3 linked regions of the Lepisosteus oculatus genome follow. The protein of the gene in region 2 interacts with the protein of the main gene of each other region in a pairwise test. Links are inferred from orthologs where the notes say so. Each region holds a gene or a part of one and is shown on either strand. Other genes may lie near its edges.

Evidence for each region. The genes of interacting proteins can lie anywhere in the genome.
Region 1: the proteins of nab2 (region 2) and transcription elongation factor A N-terminal and central domain-containing protein interact in binary tests that used the Homo sapiens proteins (3 or more experiments, as listed by UniProt). The two-hybrid records come from large-scale screens. The link is inferred for Lepisosteus oculatus from reciprocal best matches to the Homo sapiens genes NAB2 and TCEANC.
Region 3: the proteins of nab2 (region 2) and zmynd19 interact in binary tests that used the Homo sapiens proteins (3 or more experiments, as listed by UniProt). The two-hybrid records come from large-scale screens. The link is inferred for Lepisosteus oculatus from reciprocal best matches to the Homo sapiens genes NAB2 and ZMYND19.

The regions. Positions count from the first base shown.
Region 1 is NC_090708.1:21,959,065-21,966,915, reverse strand, and holds the start of transcription elongation factor A N-terminal and central domain-containing protein, read right to left. Parts: upstream 3,015-7,851; coding exon 1,809-3,014; 3' UTR 1-1,808.
Region 2 is NC_090696.1:15,543,380-15,550,623, reverse strand, and holds the start of nab2 (NGFI-A-binding protein 2), read right to left. Parts: upstream 3,101-7,244; 5' UTR 2,891-3,100; coding exon 2,888-2,890; intron 1,720-2,887; coding exon 1,555-1,719; intron 1,185-1,554; exon of another isoform or gene 121-1,184; coding exon of another isoform or gene 1-120. UniProt on the Homo sapiens protein: Acts as a transcriptional repressor for zinc finger transcription factors EGR1 and EGR2. Isoform 2 lacks repression ability.
Region 3 is NC_090719.1:406,603-414,645, forward strand, and holds the start of zmynd19 (zinc finger MYND domain-containing protein 19), read left to right. Parts: upstream 1-5,029; 5' UTR 5,030-5,244; coding exon 5,245-5,295; intron 5,296-6,484; coding exon 6,485-6,544; intron 6,545-6,634; coding exon 6,635-6,741; intron 6,742-7,199; coding exon 7,200-7,340; intron 7,341-7,587; coding exon 7,588-7,768; intron 7,769-7,955; coding exon 7,956-8,043. Other genes in the region: bspry (B box and SPRY domain-containing protein), read right to left, coding at 1-376, 967-1,100, 1,188-1,213, 1,301-1,531, 1,887-1,985, 3,104-3,409. UniProt on the Homo sapiens protein: May be involved as a regulatory molecule in GPR24/MCH-R1 signaling.

The DNA.
Region 1 (7,851 bases), on a different chromosome or scaffold from region 2:
TGAGTTGAAGACATAACTTAACATTGTTACCTATAATTGAATATTAAATATAATTCCACAAAAGTGACCTAACTGAAGACTGAACTGCAAACATAGCTCATTAAAGAACTATATATTTTTGAAAATATCACTGAGCAAGAAAATGCAAAGAAAAGGTAAAAACAAAACCTGAGAATGAAAAATCCAGGTCGTAGAATGCTATAGAAACGTCAGAGACCTTTCTTTTTCGAGAACAGTTAAGGGATTAATTTATAGTTTAACAAGTGCACACAACAAAATATTATGCTAAAGTGCAAAAACAAAACTCAATATTATGCTAAAGTACAAAAAAGTTGCCATTAGTGGTTTTAAAAGAGATTTTTCTAGCTCACACTTTGTAATTGTGTAACCTTAGTGAATTCTCAAAGTATTTTATTATTTATTCCAAAGCAAGAAGAGAGTTAAAATGTAATATTGTCAGGCCAACTAATTAGTTTTGGAGCATACCCCAAATTTCTAAGTAGCATTGTTATGATTTCAAAACAGAAAGATAATCTATAAACATTGGAAAACTCATGTAGCACCACTTTTTATGACCAATTATGATGGGTTATGGAAATTTCCTGATGAAAAGTTCTCACAATCTAAAAAAGAAACCCTGGAATGAATTAACAGGGTGTACTTTAAACACAAATTGTTTCAAAAATGCATTATACAGTATATACTGTAATTAGATGTCTACTGAAATTGGCACAATGAATTTAATAGAACAGGTAAAGGTTTGTTCCATACTGAAAGGAACAGATACAACATTTTGACGGAGTAGCTTTCTTCAGGTGTGACATTAATAGAAGGAATACAGTTAGAAATTTAAAACCAAAGCATACACACATAAAATGACTTATTAGGTATTACTGGGCATAGATGATTTTAAATCATATATCTCACGTTGATAAAGCTTGACAAGAATATAGTATTAATCTGCTTTGAAATACAAATGAATAGCATTCAGCCATTACTTAAATTATAACTCTGACAGGCTAAGGAGTTGTACCATGCAGTAGGGTTCCTGAAGTTTCTACGACATGAAAAAAGTCACATGCAGAGCATTTTTGAACAAAGTCACATGTATGAGTAAAGACCATATGATCTAAGTGCAGTTAAATTGATTACTCTGCACACTTTTTCTATTATCTATATTTATAGTAATGCAGCTCTGGATCAAGATTTAGTCTGTTAAATTATCAACTGTTTAGGCACTTTCAGCTTCTTCGAGGTTCTGTTTTATGTAATGTGCTTATCTTGAAAAGACAAGTTTCCTAAAATATGATTAAAATACAGTCCATGGCATATCTTATAGCTGTACTTGCTGACACATACTGTGTTCTGCAAATGAGAGTGACAAAGGATGGCCTTTTTTATTCATCTATAATAAAAATGAACAGAAACTGCTGAGATATTATCTTCAATCACTGCATAGCTATTTTAATTTAATAAGTGTTCTTCCAGTTCACTTCAACAAATTCTGAAAATTTCATTCAATCTCTGGCCAAAATACAGAGTCAAAAATACCAAACACAAAAAATAACATAAAAACGAGACACACAGTAGCTTATCACAAAAAATCCACACACAAAAATGTAACTGCACAAACCAGTACAAATGTGAGGCACTTTGGGGGAAAAAAAAGAACAACATTTTCACAATGACTTAAAGATCCTCATCATCACAACTGTCTTATAGTGCCACGGAGAGAGCCGAGCTGTACCAGAAATGCAAACCTTCAACCCATGATTAACATGTACTGTTCGAACCGGTTGCACCAGTTACTATAAACAAATCCATCCACTGTTATACCATTTCTCACCACATTTGTTACAGATGACAAAAGTCATCATCTGCTCATCTGGGGTTCCGTTGCGTACCCAACTAGGAAGGAAGAGGGTACCCCTGGAAATGAGTGTCACAGTGCAGTCAAACCTCTCACATCGCCGGCACTTTATTTTATCTGTCTGGGTCCCGCCCACGCCTTGGGGAAGCTGGTGTTCATTAATGGCAGATTCTATGTACGCTGACCTCATCTGCTTTAGCTCATCACTTGCCAGTTCCATCACGGACATCTCAGAAAACACCTTAGGGCTCAGCTGTCCACCCAGCAGGTTTTGACGCCAGTGAGGGGTCTTAGGGTTCCTTAAGTTAGAAACTTTACTTCTAATGAAAGACTTGTACTTTCTTTCGTTTTTCCCATGGAGGATAAAAACGTGCTCCTCAATCGCACAGGCAACTTCCTGACAGTTCCCTGCGGACTCTGTGTGCTCAGCTCCCTCAGGAATAAGGGCTTGAAAGAGCAGCTGTATACATTTGGACCTAAGAGGTATCTTGCTAGGCTGTACCTTTTCCAGAGTCACCCCTGAAGTATCATGTCCAGCGTTCTCCACTGTGCCAGGCTGGGATCTAACTGCTGGGGTGTTTCCGTTGTTTTCCAATCTAGAAAGATCACTTTTGTTTTCATTTTTGCTTATTGCTGAACCAAACTCATCTTCTTTCAGTACCTCCCCTCTGCTGGCCACACAGTGGAATAAATTATGTTGTGTTGCCTCATTAGTCTCTTTAGCTTTGTCTTTCTCACTGATAAAGCTCTCGTTTCCTTCCAACTGACCGCACTGTGAACAGTGAGTCTCATTTATTTCTGACTGGCAACAGGATGGGTTTTTCTCTGTGTGTGGCCCTCGAGTACTGTTTTTCTCATCAGGGCCTTTTCCTGCAAGGTGATAGGATGCTTTGCACCAAGGATTGGTAAACAGCTTCTTCCATTTTGACAGTAAAACCTTCGCTTTTTTCTTCACCAAAGTCCCTTGGCAGGTTTTACAGACCCGATAAACAACTTTTGCAATATCTGTTTGCTGAAGTTGTTCTAATGTAATGTGAGCCATTTCTAATTCCTCTAATAAGAGCATAATATCTTGATGGTTCTGTTCATGGAGACGTTTTTCAATTTGACGGGTATGACAAATGATTCCCTGTGTGTCCATCATCAGGCCAATCTATGGAAGCATATCACAAAATCTGTAATCAGCAGCAGTAAGTATGATATTTATTCCTATTTTATATATACCCAAAATCTCAGAATTAACAAAATCAACACTTTCAAATATGGAATAATTTAGTTTAAACATGCAGTAAACTAGCAATTTCAGTGTTTAAAAATTAATCCACCCTTGATCTGGACCCAAATACAGTTGTGGAGAAGCGTTTAACCCCTTTGAAAAACATGGGGTGCATGTTTGGGTTTCTTTTGGTTTCTGTTTTATATACTGTTGTACAGCAATTTGAGGTTGTTGTGCATAAATACATTTTGATTTTTTTTTCGTTAGATGAACATAAATATAATTTTTCATGCATTTTGTTGTAGTAACATCATAATTCTTGCTTTGTATTTTATATCGAAAACTGTAGTTACAACACGGTAGGTAAATCCCCTACATGCAGATCTTAAATTCACACTAGCGTGCTGCATACTGTACAGTATGTACGTTTAAATTAATAAAATCTGTCCTACTGAAGAATGACAGCGGGCGTCTCATTTCAGAGTTAAAGAGTGCTACAACTGAAAATAGTAGTTTCTAACTTCAAACCGAAATGTCAGTGAGTTCTTGCTAAATCACATGCCCAAAACGCAGAGCTAATATTTTCAATATTGTTAATACAACAAAGTAAAGTACTTCTACCTACAGAACCTGATGTCAACACGCAGGCACTCAGTAAGAATCTAACTGCCCTTTACGAAGCTCCTTGAAGTTTTCAAGTGTAAAAATCATTTTTACAGCCAATCCTGTTGTGTTCATATACCCATATAGGTGTGTCATATACAAGAAATATGAAATCATACTGGGAAATTGCAGTTAAAAATCCTCGCCGTTAAGATGCACAGACGTTTCTTTCACTCCCACCGGTCGACCGCCATGTTTGTTTATAATTTTTTACAAGGCTTTTGCTGCTGAAACAAGTATCGCACGCCAGGGGGCGCACATCGACCAGGTAAGTGGTGTTTGTCTTCACAAGGTTCCACAGCTGCCATTCTCTTTCACAAATTACAATTCAAACCACCGCCATCACCAGCAACAATAATACATTGAAGTATTTATAATAGAATAAATAGAGAGAGACGCATTCAGCATTCTAAGAAACAGCAAAATGCTAAATGCTTGGGTTCTTTATTTTAGTTTATTTTAATTTTACAGTAACTGTGGGAAACGATTAAGTCATTATTCACTAAAAGCTTGAGTCGAAACCTCAAGCTTTTAGGACTGCTGAATGCGATACAGTTATTAGGGCTGTGTAATTGATTTGCAGGATGGAAAAACAGCATAACGTATTTATACGTATAGCATATGATGCTATGGTTTCTGGTTTCGATAGTGCTGGGTCGGCGGGGTATCTAAAATTACACACATTTGGTTTCTGTTCAACTGTTATATAATCATATATAGATAGCACTGTGAAAAATGTTTACAGTCTATTTAGCTCTTTATGTATATTGTTCAAAGGTTATAATGACAATACACAATACATACTAACCATACATGTACCTCATGTCAACGTACCTAGAGTATGTATAATAACTCTAGTAACTAGTAAGTAGTAAGTGGTGACAATTTATAATAATTTTCATTGTGAAAAAATGTTTTCAATGTTCAACAATAAAAGCTGTTCACCTCCAGGACATTTACAAGTGGAGGCCATTCGTCCCATCCATCTTATCTAGGATTCAGTGGCTAATTGACCAGAGGATGTCATCCATCCATTTTGTGAAAGAACCCAGGGTATTAAACAGGATATTGGCTTCGACAACACAGCCGGAGTTTCAGGCATCCACAGCACTATAAAAAAGTGCTTTCCATTTTCAGTTTTAAATGCACATCCCCGTACTGAAGTGTCTCCACAGTGCACTATTTAAATAAACTTAAATAGGTTCCCACACTGTCGGAGACTGGCAATTTAGTGGGACATGAGAATCATTTTCCCCCCTTAAGATTGTCTGCAGGCTGTCAGTAATAAGCGACAACAGAGACAACAACAGTAAAGGTCAGCTAGCATCATTTTGATTTTTAAAAACTAGAAGCAACAGCATGCGTAGGGTATATATATGCACTGCACATTTGGCTAGGCTGAGTTCAGAAACCAATAATTTCACAACAAATGTGTGGGCTCCTTGGAAAGCAAACCATTCACTGATGTTCACTGATGTTTGCTGCACAGCCTGACTCACCATGCCAAAGTAGTACAAGTCTTATGACTCCACCTTCGCAACTTTTTCTTGTTCTCCAGTATACACAATAAACTAATGGCCTCCCAAAGGTTCTGATCCATTACAAATGTGTGTAATAAATGCCCTTGGAGTTTAAGACAGCCCATGAAGATTGAAAATAAGATTATTTTATAATAATATGTATGTGTCTGGAAAAACTCAATTAAAGGCAGTGTGAAGGCGGCATATAATTAAATTAATATTTTAATTATATGATTAATGGGAAACCAAAGCTACAGATCTTTCAACTTTGGCGAGTATTCGGTCCCAGCCCCTGCAACAGAGATAATACATTTCATGTTTTAAAAATGTGCTTTTTTCTCCTTTAATCCTGCCAGTGACAGCTGTAATTGATACCTAGGAATGTCTTTAATGCTTTTTTTGTTTTATCTGAAAAAGCAACAGGCAGCACAGTGGCACAGTGCTTAGAATTGTGTCCTCACAGAACTGGGCCCCTGGGTTCCATTCCTGGGGTGCTATATGCATGGAAGGTTTATGTTTTCAATGTGTTTCCACCTGGCTCCCCGGTTTCTTCCCAGAGTCCAAAAACATACTGGTATGTCAACTGGCTTGTGGGAAAAATATGCCCTGTTGTGAATGTATGTGTTTGTGTCTGTGTGTGGAGAAGTGGTTAGAAATGGATGGATGCAAGAGCATCAGAAAAAACATTATCACAAAAGAATTGAACAGTGAAAGTATGTCCAGCTCTTTATTAGGTTCTGTTACTGGGCTTACTATGTTTCTTGATTTTCAGAACACCTTTGAGTAAGATATTTCCAGCAGATTGCACTAATGATACTGTAATTCAGGTTTTTAAATAATTTTTTAAGTCTTAGCAGCAGCTTCCCAAACGTAATTAGGTTCTGTTAAAGGAGATGTAGGAAAAACTCTACTACTCTACTCTACTTAAATTGCCAAACCCATGGCCTAAAAGGAATTTCAGTTGAACTTTCTCTTTCATTTTCTTATTAATTATAATATGTTATGAACATTGTGTTTTTAATTAGCTTCAACTTTAAAAGATTTAGGGTTCTTACATTCAAAACCAAGTATGGAACTAAATTCCTCTATATTTACATTATGTCATGTGTTTCAAGTCCCATTAGTCATCCTCCTATGATGTCATGGAAAGCATATACAGTAGTATCTATTCCCTCTGATCCAATAAACCTGCCGCTGTTACAACTTGCTGTTTTGAGGTCTACAAACAACTACAAAGAATACTTGTAAGACGGTAAGATGAGAAGAAAAAAAAGAGTAAATTAGCATTGTAGTCCAAGTGGTAAATCATCTTGAGTTTTGCTCGAGACCGTTACCACTCAACAGCCTATTTCCCTCAGCTCAGCACAACCACGATCACAGGGTCTCTTCCTTCCTGTCTGGCCAAGAACAATGCAGGCTTTTCCACAGAGCTGCCCAGGAGTCGCTGCTCAGTGAACAATAATGGATCACCTTTCCAGACTGTATGATACTTGCCTGAATTTATGGATATCAAGTGTGAAAGCTTACTTAACTTCATTAATCTAAATTAGTTTTGCAGGTCAGCTTAAAAAGAAGCATGTACAGTAGGTGCTTATTTTGCAGTGACAATATGATCATTACAGAAAAGAAAAGCATACCAACAGATGCAGGTGAAACTGAAAATTGTATGCCTGTTTCTCCTGATGACTATCAAACATCACCAGTAATAAAGTAATAAAAATATGATTCAAAGTAATCATTACATACCTACAGTGTATGTCAATATGCAGACAATAGTTTTTGCACTCTTATAAATAAGGACTGTAAGTGTTATAAGGCTCAATATTCCACGATGGTTTCAGAAAAAGAAATTTCAGTGCTACTGGTTACTAGGGTAAAGTAAGCCCTAAAATCATATTTAATGGGAAATGAAATACAGAATTAAATGGCCAATACATCTGCACAGTGTGATTGAAAACATAGCAAAAATGGTAAAAGGGCAGCCATTATAACCATCAGACCTAAGCCTGAGTTACAGTTTCCAGGAATTATGAAAACTTGAATGTGCTTTAGATTTGTTTGGATTGAAGAAAGGTACAAGAGTCTTACGGAAAGTATCTCCCCTCCAAAAAATATATGATACAACAATATACTGTACGCCAACGGAGAACACACACTCACTGCTCCCTGAGAGTACCTTTATACCTCGCCTTTTAAATAGCTGCTGAATGTTTAAGCTTTTGAGTAAACTTTTTACAGATGCTTAAGGAAAGTTCTAAAGTGAATATCACCTTCAAATATTAAAAAGTATAATTAGAAATGCAATTGTAAAGTCAATTTTTTCAGTGCTTCAGATTATAGTAGGAAGATTTAATCCTTTGCCTCTGACATATGGGATAATATTCACCATGCCTGGCATCTGCTACAGTCATTACTTTGATTTTTCCAAGAAACTTGAGTTTTCTGAGGGGATTTATTGTGGCCCCAGCACTGTAAGGAACAATAAATTCTAACAGATTGATTAGGATCGCTTCCGAGCTTGTTTCTTAGCATCGACGTCTGTTTCACACAGGCCAGTCTCTCCTAAAAGCAAGGTGGTTATT
Region 2 (7,244 bases):
GGGCCAAGAGGCCAGGAAAACAAATCGCTGGTCCGTGACCAAGCCCAACTCATGCAAGCCACCTAGAACTGCACCATCACTGATCGGGCACTGCCTTTGTTCTGACTGCACCGTGTGCATGTGGAAGCAATCACAACCGAAAGTCCATATTAGTACCACTATTGCTGTTAGCGGTGTTGCTGCCACTATGTTTATTACTCAGAGAAACACTAGACTCCCACTGCACATCACTTTGATCCATTTCGGATTTTGCTAGAAGCTGGTCTGAACTGACTCGGGGTGCGGCGTGTATTTATCCCAGTAAACAGATCGGGTAAAGTGCGTGGAGCTAAATCCCATTAACCACGCCGTCTTTGTGCTTCGCCGACTCCACTGCCACAGCCCGCTTGTTTTCCTAAGCTGCTGTCACAGTAGCAGACAGTAGTAAAAAGAATCAGAAAAGCGAAACGCATAGAACCTCACTTGTCTGCAAACTAAATACTGAACACGCCAGCAGAGCAATCTGAGAATATCAAAGGCAGCAGCGGTTGAGGGACAACTCTTCAAAAACACCTCGATATCCTGATATCTAACACAGTGCATGCTTGCGTTTCCCACGTTTTTAAGAATGCTGATAAGACACAGCCACGTCCGACACAGAAAGACCAGACAGGCAGAAGAGATGACATTTGGCGCCTCTAGCAGATAAAGGTTTATCGGGGTCACTGTCTGGCGAGACGTCGGTCTATTGGCTCGGAGAAGAGACGCTTTCTCGGGAGAAGGTGCGCCGTGCCCACGGTGGCCGGCAGTACCTCGCCACGGAGCAATAGAACAACCCAACCGATCCGCTATCAGGATATTCCTAATCACCGAGCCCCCTGGCTGTGATGCGCCCATGGGGCTTCTTACTTGCGACAGTAACCTCGTCCTCTCGACAATACATCGTTGCGTACTGCGTGCGCGCTCTTCGGGGGACAGCGGGTTTAGATAGAAAAATACCAAAGGTACCGTATGACGTGGAGCACAGCTCGCAATTTCTGATTTCTAGATCCCCCGAAAGTACAGAATTCTGTTTTCTGCAGCTGTTGACGGAAAACAGCGGTCAGCAAAAGTTTGATTTACAAGGGTCTGAATACAAAAGCGACTTATCTGGAGGAGCGGCGAAGCACAGGACTTGGGAAACACGATCAGGATAGTATGTTCAGAAACACAACCTGCTCGCGGGGGGAGGGAGGCAGTCAGAATGGTTGCCTACAGCGGCTGAAACACCGGCGACTCGCAAACGTCGCGATTCCGCGGATCTGCGAACGGGCGGACAGCTGCAAACGTAATAATAAGCGCACAAGCTGGGGGTGGGAAAGATCATGTAAGTGCTGAACGGCATCTGTGAAGAGGGGTTTACGCCGGTGTGTCTTGCTCTAGCCCTGACGCAGAACGTTTCACAATAGTTACAGTTTCAGAAGTTGCCACCCGCAGCCGTACGGGATCACTCGCACCCCAAAATTGCACGAAGGCAGCCGGCTGTGGCACCCGCTCCTTCCGAGGTCACCGGGTAAGCAAAGACGATCGCCCTACCTCTCTGGGATCCGCCCGGTCGGCTGCGATCACGTAGAGACGGTGCCCCGCGGGCGCGCTCCTCGGCTCGGCTCCCGGCGGGAACGCCCAGCCAGCTGCCCGGCTCGCCTCGCTGCGGAGCGCGGCTGTCCCGCTCACGCTTTCGCGCTCGTCGCTGTTCCGACGCTGAATTGGAAAAGGCAAAAAAAAAACACCGCGCAGGGAGAGGAGCGTGTGTAGGGGGAAATAAGTGAGAGAAAACGGAGAGTTTCCCCCGTTGCCCTCCCCTGCTCTCCCTTAAGTCCCGATGGGTGAGTTGTGCTCCGTCTTCTGCCTCGGCTTTGGTCTGCTCCCTGTTCACCCCTCAACCGCCCCGGCGCAGACAGGAATCGAAACGTTTAGGCAGAACTTCTAGAAACTTTGGTCCAACATGCCCGCCTGGTTTTTGTACCCCCCTATTCTCCCTGTTTCTTATCTTATGATAATATTTATTGTTCCCCCCTTAATTTCTGCTCTTGCCGATACTTTGTTGTCCTGCGGGCTGCCTGTTTTCTCTGGCTACTGTCCTCTCTCGGCGGACCGCATTGTTAAAGACAGTGTTTTGCAGGGTGTGTGGGTGAGAGAGACCCGGGGGCGGACTGCAGCGCGCCATCTGACCGAAAAAGAGCTTTCCTCTCCCGGGTAGAGAGGCGGCTTTCAGGGTGGGGGTGTGGAAGTTGGGGGGGATAGGGTGGTGGGGGGATTCACATGCTAGCTTTTATCATTTTAACCCTTTCTTTAAAAAAAAAAACCAACAACAACACAACTGCGGCGAGAGAGGTCCCGGCCACCTACAAACTTCCTTTCGGTCTGGTGTGTGCGTCTAACTCTACAGTGCGGGTTTCTTCTCCTGAAGAGACCTGAACGACCCAGTCACACCCCCTGTGTCGAGGCCGTTCCAAACCGTGCAAGTGCTCAAAGACTGCTGCGGATCACGCAGTAAGGCGCGGAGATCTGTCGACAAATCCCATCACGCCGCTGCCGTCGATTTCAACACCTCCCCAGCGCCACAGAGCGGCGTTGCCGCTGGCGGGCTCAGTCGTGCACGCACAAGTGCACTGCCGCGACTTCTGCACGGAGCCCCAGCGACAGCCCCTGTCCGCATCGCCCTCCGCCTGCACGGCGCCCGGGTCATTTCGGCAGTAGCCGTAACACAGTAACAAGCCTCTGATTGAACAAAAAAGTTCTGAAAAAATGACGCAACTTAAAAGCAAGAGAAGCTAATTAAACATCAGCAATGCAATTAATATTACCACCATCACCAATAATAATAATAATAATAATAATAATAATAATAATAATAATAATAACCCACCATCCGTTCCCACAGCCGAAAAGGCTCCAGTCCTGTAGATCTATGGGAGTAAAACACATCTATTGCTTCTTATGACTTGGGTTGTGCATCTGGAGTCTGTGAAATTCGGGGTATTAAAAGAGCTTCGCTCCTTGTCATCAGAAGAGCTACGTCTCGCTGTCTCCACTTCACACTCCATAGCGCTTAGGAGTGAAGAACTACGTAACCACAGTGTTTCGAGTGCGTTTGTGAACATCGGTATTATTATTATTATTATTATTATTATTATTATTATTATTATTGGGTTAGAATAATTCAACAAACACCTTGGCAAACTGGTAAAACAAGGTACATGATAGATGTGTGTCTTGTTTTATGACGAACAGCAGAAAAACTCCATCAGCAGCACCGCGGCTCTGCGGGAGCGGGCTGTGTGTGAGCGTGCCAGCGTGTGGCTGTCCGGGGGAGGCGCGTGGGCCACTTCCGACTGGGTTCGACGGATCCGAAGCGTGACGCAGTTGACAAGGGGGGATTCCCCAGTGATGTAATTCTCAGCTCACATAAAACCGTTCGAAAACTCTCCGCTCGACTGCAGCCGGTATGATATGCAAGAGCAGCGTTTTCTTGTCAGGCTGCCTGCGTCTGGCGTGCCCATACCTCCGCCGCGGTGTACGTAGTTGGTCGGCTGGGTTGCTTGTGTGATCGCACCAGTGGAACACCCGGCTTTCGTTAGCTTGGGACTTTCTCACCCTAGAACGAACACAGTCTCGTTTCCTGTTTTCGCCATGACGTTGCTTGAGAAGGACAGCAGGTCCAAGTGGGTGAATAGCGAAGGCGTCTGCAAATCGCCCACCTTCTCTTTTATCCCCTGACGTTACACAACAGGCCGTTATGCGTCACTGTGTGGATCCTATTAAAAGCAATTAAACAATTAAGATGTTTTTTTTTCTGTCAATTCGCAGCACCAGCATTACAAAATATCAACATCTCATTATATAAGCCGGCGCAACGGGTTCGATTCCGACCTGAGGAACCGTCTGTGTGAAGTTTGCATGTTCCGCTGTGTCTGTGTGAGTTTTCTCTTAGGTGTCTAGTTTCCTCTCAGATTCTGGAGACATGCTGGTGGGGTAGTTGTTGTCTCAGTTGTTGTCTCCTTGTGTGATGGGCAAATGTCCCACTCGGGATGAGATCCCATAATCCCAGGAGATCCCATAATTCCTGTATCGGCTCCATTTCCTGAGCCAGGTATACAATCGTCTTAATTATAATGGGTGGAATTTGCTGAAATACTGGACTTTTCTAACGGCGAGGTCTTGAACACAGCCCCCTGGAGGGGGACTGGTATCTGTTTGTTTTTTTTTCCCACCCAGACTTACCAGCTGGTCTCGTTAGTTAATTAACTGCCTTCTAGACAGGCTGAGCCGGGTTTTGCAGTGAGTTGTCATCAACTATAAAAGACCTGGCAAAGACAAAAACTCCTGCGCATGTACAACAAAGACAATAATCGGGCAAACGGTTTCATGACTCCGGCGAATGCCAGGCAGACACTAGGCACTCAGGGAGCTGTGTCTGAGACCCCCGTTCCTAAGAAGATCGTGCACGAGCGCCTTTGTGCAAGGAGGTGCACAGGCAGGGGCTGTCTTGGTGCATAAGATTGAAAAGAGTAACTAGGAGGAATCCAGTAAAGACCGAGGATGTTTTTCTGTCTTTTGTATCTTGCCTCCTTGCAATGTCTATTTGTCATCTTTTTCAGCTGAAAAGCCAGATTACGTGTTTGAAACTGTGATGAAGGAAGACTGCTTCCACAGCCGGGCTGCGATGGGGTAGTGAAGCTGGGACAAGCCTCACATGTCTGGGCAAAGTAGGCGACCTAACCATGATTTCTTGATCGGGCCATGCAGGGATCCGTTCTGGAGAGACACCGTAGGAACGGATAGCAAGCAGTCGTATTATAGGAGCAAGAACAAGGGGGCAGTTTTCAGGGTCTGATGTTCCCCTCTGCGAATGGGCTTCAGAGTACTGAGCAATACGAAATTCGCTCCGGCTTCCCCTTAATGCAGCCCGGACTAGGAGCAGGTCCCAGTGCAGAGATTTCGGGGGACAATACGTATCACACAATGAGGCCACTCAGGCTCGTTTGGACTGCTCCCGGCCCCTCTGGCTGGGATGCGCAGGCAGCCCCAGGGGCATGTGGGGGCAGCCTCACACTGCAGGGCTTGTTCAGCACCTCTGCCGGGACAGCAGACTCATTGTCCTCTGGGGCACAATCGGCTCGTCTGTGGGGGAGCCGGAGATGCCTGCACGTCCTTCCTCTGGTTGCAGGGGGCGGCCTGGCCACTGGCGCAGCCCGAAAGCAAGGGCCCCTTTCCCTGCTGGGAGCGACGACCACCAGTCCGCCTCAGCAAGGCGCCGAGCCTGGGAGAAACTCAGCCCAGCAAAGTCACGCTGAGTGCAAGGGATAGTGATGAAGCAAGCCCAAGGCAAATACCAGGAAATGACAAGCAGTAAAAAGGGGAAAAAACTCCCCACGAGCCTTGCCAGGCTGTTCGGTTTTATCCTTTTTCAGGCGGTGGAAACAAAAGTGCACCTACACTGGGGTACATTTAAGACCCTTTACACAAAGGGTGGTGGGAGTGTGGTACAGGCTGCTCAACCAAGTTGATGAGACCCTGGCTTCTTTCAAGGAATGGTTGGTGAATAATAATAATGAACCTGTATAATAATAGTGAACCTGTACCCTCACCACACATCAGCTATCAGTGAGGAGGAGAACAGAGTGATGACGTCAGTTCAGAGATGGGGATTTAAGGAGGCCATGATTGGTAAAGGCCAATGGGAAATTTGGCCAGGACACTGGGGTAACACCCCTACTCTTTTCGAGAAACGCTCTGGGATTTTAATGACCAAAGAGAGTCAGGACCTCGGTTTTACGTCTCATCCAAAGGACAGTACCTTTTCACAGTATAGCATCCCCGTCACTATACTGGAGCATTAGGACCCACACAGACCTCGGGATGAGCGCCCCCTACTGGCCCCTCTAATAGCTCTTCCAGCAGCAACCTTAGCTTTTCCCTAGATGTCCCCTAATCAGGTACTGGCCAGGCTCACACCTGCTGACCTTCAGTGGTCTGCCAGTTGTGAGCTGCAGGGTGATATGGCTGCTGGCTTAAAAGACACGCTTCTGTGACCGGGAATCGAACCCAGTCCGCAGCAAGGAGAGCACCAAATCCTAACCACTAGACCACCAGGGAGATCCCTGGACCAATTAGCTACTAACTACCAAACGGGCCAGCTGAGCCGAACGACCTCTTGATTGTAACCTTGCATGTGTGCGGTCCGTTAGACTGACAGCGCTGCAATGCAGGAATATGCTGTGGTGACTTGGCCAGTGTGAGCTACTGGTTGCCAGTTGTGCTCTGTGGCTCCTGCGGTGGTAGCACAGCAGATCCAGGCAGCCTTAGCCTGTCATACAACATTGGTTCAGGTCTGCAGTACTGAGGATGGTCACAAGGCCCCAGTGCAATTTGATTGCTTGGGTCTCGTCTTCCTGTAGGCCAGAGCTACACCTTCTGTAGCCCTTCCAGGCTGCTCCAGTGCACAGTTCTGCCACAACCTGCTGCGTAACTGATAATCAGAGGAGTCAATATTGTATCGGAGGAGTTGGTTACAACAAAGAGCAGCAATGGCGTAGGTTGGTGGGGCTAGACATGGAGTTGTCGTGCTAAGGGGATCCGTCTCCCTGTTTTTCCCAGGATTATTTACACACCACTGGGCCTTGACCAGGCTGGCAGGGGCTCTAGGAGGTAACAGCTCCTTCCCTCTCTTTCTCTCTCGTCCTTTCCTGCTCCCACTAATCCATTTTCCCCTCCGCCGTTCACGCCCTCTCTCTCTCTCGGTCTCTCTCGCTCTCTGGGTAGCTGACGCACATCCTCCCGCCCCCGTATCGAGCCGCTCCCCCCCCCCCCACCATCTCCCGGTATACAAGCATGAGCTCCAGTTGATCTCGCCCACCCACAGACTGCAACTATTCCTCAAGGAACCCATTAGCCCGGCATCCGGAATGGGCAGAAATAGAAACCGCACGTCCGGGCGTGTGGGAGGGAGAGAGACAAAGAGGAATGGAGCCCTGTACTGTATGCGGCGGCAGGGACTCGGAAAATAAATGAGAAGGAGAGAAAAAAAAATCAAGAAACGCACAAAAAAAAGAGCAAACAGAGCCCGTAGCTCCGCTTTATGAAAACGCCAGAAGGAAATGAGCTAATCAAAGCCCTTTTGCGTTCGCCTTTTTGAAATATCATTGATCTTCTGCATACGGAGCAGGCCGCGCGCCCCTGTGCGAGCGGCGGCGCGCACGGGGGCCCAGGGCAGGAGAGCGGCC
Region 3 (8,043 bases), on a different chromosome or scaffold from region 2:
CGCGGCCGGCGCAGCAGGGGCAGCGGCTCCGCGCGGCCCGCGTGCAGGAAGCAGAACTCGCCGTCGAAGTGGGACAGGACCCAGGAGTGGGCGTTGTAGCCCAGCCGGGCCCCGTTCCCCGGGCCCTTGCGCTCCAGGCTGCCGTAGCTCACCCCCACCTTGAAGGCGGCGCTGCGCCCCACCTCCAGCAGCCAGCGGTGCGTCCCCGAGGAGAAGCTGCGGCCGCACAGCGCGTTGGGCCAGCGGTCGAAGCGCAGCGGGCTGTACTGCTGGGGCTGGCGCGCGCGCCTGGGCAGGAAAGTCAGGGTTCGGCCGTCGTCCGAGAGGGACAGCAGGGGGCTGACCGTCCGCTCGTCAAAGCTCAGGGGCTCAGGGTCTGCGGAGGAGAGAGGGGGGGGACAGGAGCTGACTCCTTCTGCACTCCAGGCTTTTCCAGCAGCTGCTACTGGTCAGACTGGTATTTGCACAGACCAGCACACAGTAACACTGAAAACACATCTGAAGTCTCCTGCATGGATTGTACAAGAGCCTGCAACTGGGAAAATCCGGACAGGATCAGAATGCTACACAGGGATACACTTTTAAATAATAATAATTCCTTACACTTATCTAGTGCTTTTCCGGACACTCCATTCAGTCCGTTCCCCACACACCAGCTCTCAGTGGGGAGGAGAGCAGAGTGATGGAGCCAGTTCAGAGAGGGGGGTTATTAGGAGGCCATGATCGGTGAAGGTCAGGGGGGAAATCTGTGGCCAGGACACTGAGATTAACACCCTTACTGTATTCGAGAAACACCCTGGGATTGTTAATGATCACAGAGAGTCAGGACCTTGGTTTGACATCCTTTTCTACAGTACAGTGTCCCCGTCACTAAACTGGGGCATTAGGACCCACACAGACCGCAGGGTGAGCGCCCCCCACTGGCCCCACTCACACCTCTGCCGATTGTGCACACAGACAACTCACCGCACTGACCAGAGCGACACAGCAGCACGGCATTCGCCCACAGGTTCAAAAGCAACGAGCTCTGGCTGCTCCTGGGGTTAAAGGTCAAGTGTTCGGAGTCCTGGGGCTCCCCCACCCCCTCTGCCACCTCCACCCTGCGAGAGAAGAAGGGAGCGGGGGTGACTGGCGGGCCTGGGGTGTTTTCGGAGCTGCCGTTAGCCCTGGGGGCCAGAGCCGCTCACCTGTCCGAGATCTCCTGGGAGCAGTCCTGTTGAAGAGAGCAGAACGGGTGAGGATTGGGAGAATGAGCGCGAGCCCGCCTGTCCCTGACCTTTGACCCGGCCCCCAGGCTCACCAGCAGCTGCCGGTCCTCGGTCTCCGTCAGCAGGCGCACCAGCTGGGCCCGCACGGCGGACAGCGAGCCGAGGGCCTGCGCCCAGTGCGCCCGCTGGGTGAGCAGGCTGTGCTGCACCCGCTCCTCCTCGCGCTGCACCGCCTCCAGGAGGCGCTGCTCCTCCTCGTCACAGGCCTCGCGCACGGCCGCCAGCCGCCGCAGCACCGCGTCCCGCGCGCGGCTGGCCCCGCCCTGGGACACACACACACACACACGACACGGGGTCAGGGAGCGGCGGTCAGGGTCCGGAGGTGTGGGTCCGCCGGTCAGGGTCTGTAGGTCAGTGTCTGGAGGTCAGGGTCCAGCAGTCAGGGTCTGGAGGTCAGTGTCCGGTAGTCAGGGTCTGATAGTCAGGGTCCGGTGGTCAGGGTCTGGTGGTCAGGGTCCAGCAGTCAGGGTCTGGAGGTCAGGGTCCGGTAGTCAGGGTCTGATAGTCAGGGTCTGGAGGTCAGTGTCCGGTAGTCAGGGTCCAGCAGGAGGGCAGAGCACACGACTGCACTGCTATGTGTCTGCTCCTGGGTTCTGACCCAGGTGGGCCGGTGCTGACCTGCAGGTCCAGCTCATGGGGCGGCAGCACATTGTTCACAAAGCGCTCGATCCGCAGGGCCTTCAGCTGCAGCTTCTCACACGTGTCCACCAGCTGGTTCTGAGACAGGAGGTGACAGGAGACTGAGACCCTGAGACACACTGAGGGACACTGAAACACTGAGACACACTGAGGACACTGAGGGACACTGAGAGACCCTGGGACACTGAGGACACTGAGACACACTGAGGACACTGAGATACACTGTGAGACCCTGAAACACTGAGACACACTGAGGACACTGAGACACACTGAGAGACCCTGAAACACTGAGACACACTGAGGACACTGAGGGACACTGAGAGACCCTGAAACACTGAGACACACTGAGGACACTGAGGGACACTGAGAGACCCTGAGACACTGAGGGACACTGAGGACACTGAGATACACTGTGAGACCCTGAAACACTGAGACACACTGAGGACACTGAGACACACTGAGAGACCCTGAAACACTGAGAGACCCTGAGACACTGAGGGACACTGAGGACACTGAGACACACTGAGGACACTGAGACACACTGAGAGACCCTGAGACACTGAGGGACACTTTGAGACCAGGAGCGTAACTGAGAGGTAATTATTCTTATAATAAATATTCCTATAATTAAAAGCAACTCTAACACCAGAATTCCTGCCAGTATCAGAAGAGCCTCCAGTCCTACTGGGAGTAAACTCATCAGCCCAGTGTGTGATCTCCTGTTCCAGCTGGAGCAACAGACAGTGAGTCTGTCTCACAGTGGTGTTTTACGTGATTATTGTCCAATAATATCCGCGTCTGTAAATGTTGTGTTAATTGTATCTGCATTGGCAGCACTGTCCTGCCAATAACGCACCGAGGCGCAGATAGTGCCCGCCCGCAGTCCTCCCCCACTCTCGGCACTGTTTCACGGCGCTTCCCCGTCACGCTGCGCCGTCAGGTGACTCTCATCGCGACACGGGGAGTCTCCCTCACAGCCCCGGCAACCGGCCCCGCAGGACAGGCTGGGGCAGCGCAGGGGCTCTGTTCTGACCGACAGGTCGACTCTGTTTACTCACAGCCTTCCTGCAGCAGGGCGGTGTCACAAAGACATGGCCATGCCCGTCACTGCTGAGAGAGCTACTGTAGCTGCTATTGTCCCGAGTTTGTAACCCGCTGTTTCTGGCTGCCTGGCAGCAGCGCCCTCCGGAACTCACCCGGACCGCACCAGCTCTCTGGGCCAGCTCCGGCCCCTGCTCTGCACCCCGCCGGCCCGGCTCGCCTTCCCTCGCTCCTGCCCCCTTGAGCGCCGGCTCCCCCGCCCGGTCTGGGCTCCTGGTGCCGGTTTCGGCGGCTCCGATCTTGACGCCGTTGGCCCCGTTCAGGCGGGTGGCGGCGGACGGAGCGCCAGCTGTCGGCGTGCTGGGCCCCGGGTGTCTGTGGGCGCTGTCCCCCGCCGGGGTGCCGCTGTCCAACGGGGACACGGCCGTCAGCGGGCCGCCCCTCGCCTCTGCGGTGCTCATTGCGCCCCAGCCGGGTGCCCCCTTGTTTCTGTCTGATATCTGCGGAAACCCGCCCGGCTCCGCCACAGGAGCGCGACAGGTGTGTGCCGGAGAGAGAGCGAGCAGTTACCTGTGACAGGTGAGAGGAAGCACCGACACGGAAGTGCAGGTAAAGGTCAGCGCGGCACTGGGAGCCAGTGGAGAAGAGGAGGAGGGGGGTCTCCAGACCTCAGACCCGATGCTCGCCAGTGCTCGCTCGTCTTTCCTCTCGCCCTGACTCCCTCTGAAGCCGTTCAACGGCACTGCGCGTTTTAAGCCACATGGAGCTCCTTCCAGCCAGTACCGCACTTGCACTGCGCTTTGTGAAACAGGAAACACAACCTTCCATGTCGCAATGATCCCGGAGGAAGGTAGGTCTGAGCCACAGCCCAGGCAGGCTGAAGGGCTGAAGACACGGCGCTCAGGGGCAGAGCAGTCGCGCACACTGTGCATTCCTCTCCACACACCCAGCGGGGCGCCCGGCGCTGCGTGAGAGCAGTCCTGGTAAATCATCAATTCTCTCTCCCTGGACTTTCCCCCCTTTCGGTGCACTGCACCGGGAGTCGTACTTTCTGCCTGTCTCGGCAAGACATTTACACGCGTGGATTTCCCACATCCACGCAGACTCAACCCCTTGGGCGAACAGTAAGCTCTCTCACGGTGCAACCGCCTGTAATTCTCCCGCTCGCCACCAGAAGACGCTTCACTCGGACCCGGTGTAATCTGGGTCACGTTCTGGACTCCTTGTGCGAGTTTTCACTTCGCTGTGAGGCTCTGGTGCGGGCAGTCCGCGCTGTCCATCTCCTTTCCCGTGACGGCCGTCGGGTCTACTGCACTTTCACTTCGGAAACTGTTGTCTGTGTTGTAGCTCTTGATGCCGATGCAATGAATCGAATAAATGAATCTCGATCACTTGAACGATCGGGTACAGAGAGGTTCACCGCGTGCTTACTCGTGACCTGCCAGACACCTCAGTCTTAACGTCTCACCCATCAGAGTCGGGCGTCTCTCTGGGTGAAAGCCTGAGACACGAGAGAAATCGTGCTGCCGTGCACGACACACGCCGCCGGGGGGCGCTAGACCTCTTACTCCTGCCTTGCCAGTGCCTTAAATGTCCTTTAATAAACGTCCCCTGGATCACAAAGACCACTCTAACAGCAGGATGTGATTGACATTTATTACAAGCCCATTCACATATTCTCCTGTCACGTGTTTATTGCAACAGCCCATGCGATACCGAACTGGTTTCTGCTTCGAGCTCTCGGGCGTGCTGGATCACGTGGATGCGTGACCGCCCAGCTCCTTCCGCCTGGGCCACGCTGTGTAGTTTCGCGCGAAATCAACGTCAAAGCAGCCTGGTAACGGAACGCGATTACGTCAGGGGGAAGGGATGCGGGGGGGGGGAGATAGGCCTAGGAAATCCCGCCCTCCGATTGGTCACTTCGATCGAACAGCCTGACGTCACAAGGGGTTCGTCAGTGCCTAGGAATGACAAATGGGTAAAAAAAAGACAACCTGGCCGTGCGCGGGCTCTGATTGGCCAGGCGCTCCTTCCTTCCTGCTCTGATTGGCCGGAGCCGAGGCGCTCTCTACCCTGGCGGCCCCTCCCCCCCGCACCCCTCCTCCCGCCTGCCTTTCCGTCTCCGCTGCTGGAGCCAGCGAGCTGAGCGGCGGCGAGTCCAGCAGGCTTTGCCCGGGATCCGGACTGGACCGGGGTGGCGGGGCGCCCTGACGAGCTGCACCTCTGCGAGCATCACCTCTGCCAGCTTCCGCCTCGCTGTCTGGGAGCCCGGAGCGGGCGCGCCTCCTCCTGCCCCATGTCGGATTTCAAGCTGGGGATCGTGCGGCTGGGCCGTGTGGCCGGGAAGGTGAGCCATGTGTGTCAGAGAGGTGGGGGCGGCCGGCCGGCCGTCGCAGTTTGCAACAGCCCCGGAGAGCGGCGTAGGGCAGCCGTGGCGGCAGAGAGGGGGGGTATTTGTGCCGGTTTTCCCTGAAACGCCGCGTTCTCCTAACGTGGCGAGGTACCGGGACTATAGTGGTCGCTGGCGCACACCAGGAACCTCTCGGCAACGTGACACAAGCCGGCATGTTGCGGGCCCTGCGAGTCCGGCTGGGCTTTAAACGCCGCGACTCCAGCGAGACAAACGCGTCTGAAATCCTCTCGCCCCTCTCTCCCCTCTCCCTCTCGGCCCCCGGGCGTGCCCGCAGCCCGGCCGCCTCGCCGCTGCAGGGCTGGACGCGGTGTGGCGTGCGAGGCGGGGCGCCGGTCGCTAGAGGGCCGCCGGCGGGGGACGGGAGAGGGAGGCGAGACCGGGCACATGCGGCCAGCGGCCTGCTGCCCGCCGGCTGGCGGCTTGGCGCTCCACTCGGTGTTTCTGCGCCGGTGTAGGTGCGGGCCGGAGCGGGACAGGCAGCTCAGCCCTGCTTCTCTGGCGCATGCAGGTGCGTTTAACCCCGGCTTGTTGGTGCTCCCTGGCAGGGACCTCCCGCACCCTGTGCAGACGTGTCCTGTAAAGGCCCGAGTGGAGACTCCAGGGAAGTCAGCTGGCGACATAGAGCAGGGGGGTCCTTCTGTACACAAAGGGTGGTAGGAGTGTTGAACAGGCTTCCTAGCCTTGCTGGTGAAGCTGCTTTCAGTTCAGGGCTTTCAGGATCCTCGAAGTAACTATCTACTGGCAACCAGTAGGGGCGGCATCCCTGTTGTCTCGTGATGGTAAGAACGTGTGTGGTTCAGCAGATGGTTTATTTGGGGTGACTGAGAGAGACGGGGAGCTGACTGTGCCCCAGCTGAGCCGTGGTCCATCTCTGGGCCTCTCGGGCAGCTCTGAGGATGGGCAGCGGAGCCCCTGTGCTTGCGGTGTGGTGCAGGGAGGTAGGTATTTGGGACATTCCCCCCGGCCATGGGGGGTGTCGGGTGTCCAGAGGGCATGCTGGTGCCGTCAGGCTGCAGACTGTCCTCCAGCATGGTGCACTGGGATGAGCGGAAGCCCAGCTGAGGTCTCGACGAGGGCCGGTCCCGATTGCTGATGGTGTGTTCTCGGTCTCTCCCCTCCACAGACGAAGTACACTCTGATTGACGAGCAGGACATCCCCCTGGTGGAGAACTATGCCTTCGAGGTGAGAGCGGGGCGCTGTGCCCATGCGGGCAGTGGGGGGGGCGTGTCCGAGAGCCCCGTCTGACCTCCTCCTCTCCCTCCTCTCGCGCAGGCGCGGATGGAGGTGGACGCCGACGGGAACGGGGCGAAGATCTTCGCCTACGCCTTCGACATCAACAAGGGGCGCTGGGCGGGCAGGCCGCTGCACGAGCTGCTCTGGTGAGGACAGCCGCCCCTCGGCCTGCGCGGGGTCTGGGGGCGCCCTTGTGTCCGAGCGGCTCGCACGTCCGTCTCCGACACTTACTGTGCAGCTGCGGAAGAAGACCTGTGGCGGATGAGGCCGCGCTCTCTGCGCCTTCTCGTTGCTTCTGGCCTTGAGCCCGACCAGTGGCAGGGTGCCTCCTGAAGAGCTCGAGGCGCTTCTCCTGGTCCGCGTGTGCGTTGCAGGCATTCTGCTGTTGCACAGGAGTGAAGTGGAGGAAGTAAGATATTGGTCAGGACACAGAAAGCTACAGGAAGCAGCGCTGAGCGAGGTTTTGCTGTGATGTGTGCGTCTGTCTTCTGCAAGTGTGCAGGTTCATGCCAGGTGTCCACGCGCTGGCCTGTCTGCTGGCGTCCTCAGTCTTGTCCGCTGTCATCTGAGGGCCCGTCTCAGTTTGTCCTCCGTCTGCTCACAGGGAGAAGCACCGCGGGGGCATCGCTCCATGTTTCCAGGTCGTCCACATCAACTCCGTGACCGTGGACAACCGGCTGGACAACCTGCGTCTTGTCCCCTTGGGCTGGACCCCCAAACCCGAGGAGCTGTCCAGCAAGCAGAGGTACGAAACGCTGCCCGATCTGTTTATGGTGCTCGGCGTCTGTGGCCATGGCTCTGGGCTTCTGTCCAGCTGGTCAGTCCTGATGCTGGCCGCACAATCAGCAGTCTGGCTTCAGGGCTGGGGGTTTGTAGGTCAGTAAAAGTGTCTGAGTGTCTCTTCAGGCATGTGTCTCCCCGTCTCGGGGGTTTGTCTGCGTCTCTGGAGTCCCGGCACAGGTGTCTGACTAGGTCTGTGTGTCTCTGCCCAGGGAGCAGTCCCTGTACTGGCTGGCCATCCAGCAGGTGCCGGCAGACCCTGTGGAGGAGCAGTACCTGGAGCTGAGCCGCACGCGCTACTACAACGCCAACGGCGAGCTGGTGGAGGAGGAGGAGTGCTCCTGCACCTACTATGAGTGTCACTACCCACCCTGCTCGCTCATCGAGAGGAGGGTGAGTGTTGTACTGTCTGATGACGCGTCGTGCCTCTTCGCTGGTGAGCGAACACAAACACCAGAGCTGTTTAAGAACAGGAAGGTGTATTGTAAATGCCTCCGTTCAGGGAAGGAGTGACCTTCACCAGCCACACCTTGAAGGCTCTTGTCTCTTAAGGCTTTATCTCCCTCCTCTGTCCCTCCAGCTCCGAGAGTTCAATATCTGTGGGCGGTGCCAGGTGGCGCGGTACTGCGGCTCACAGTGCCAGCAGAGGGACTGGCCTGCGCACAAGA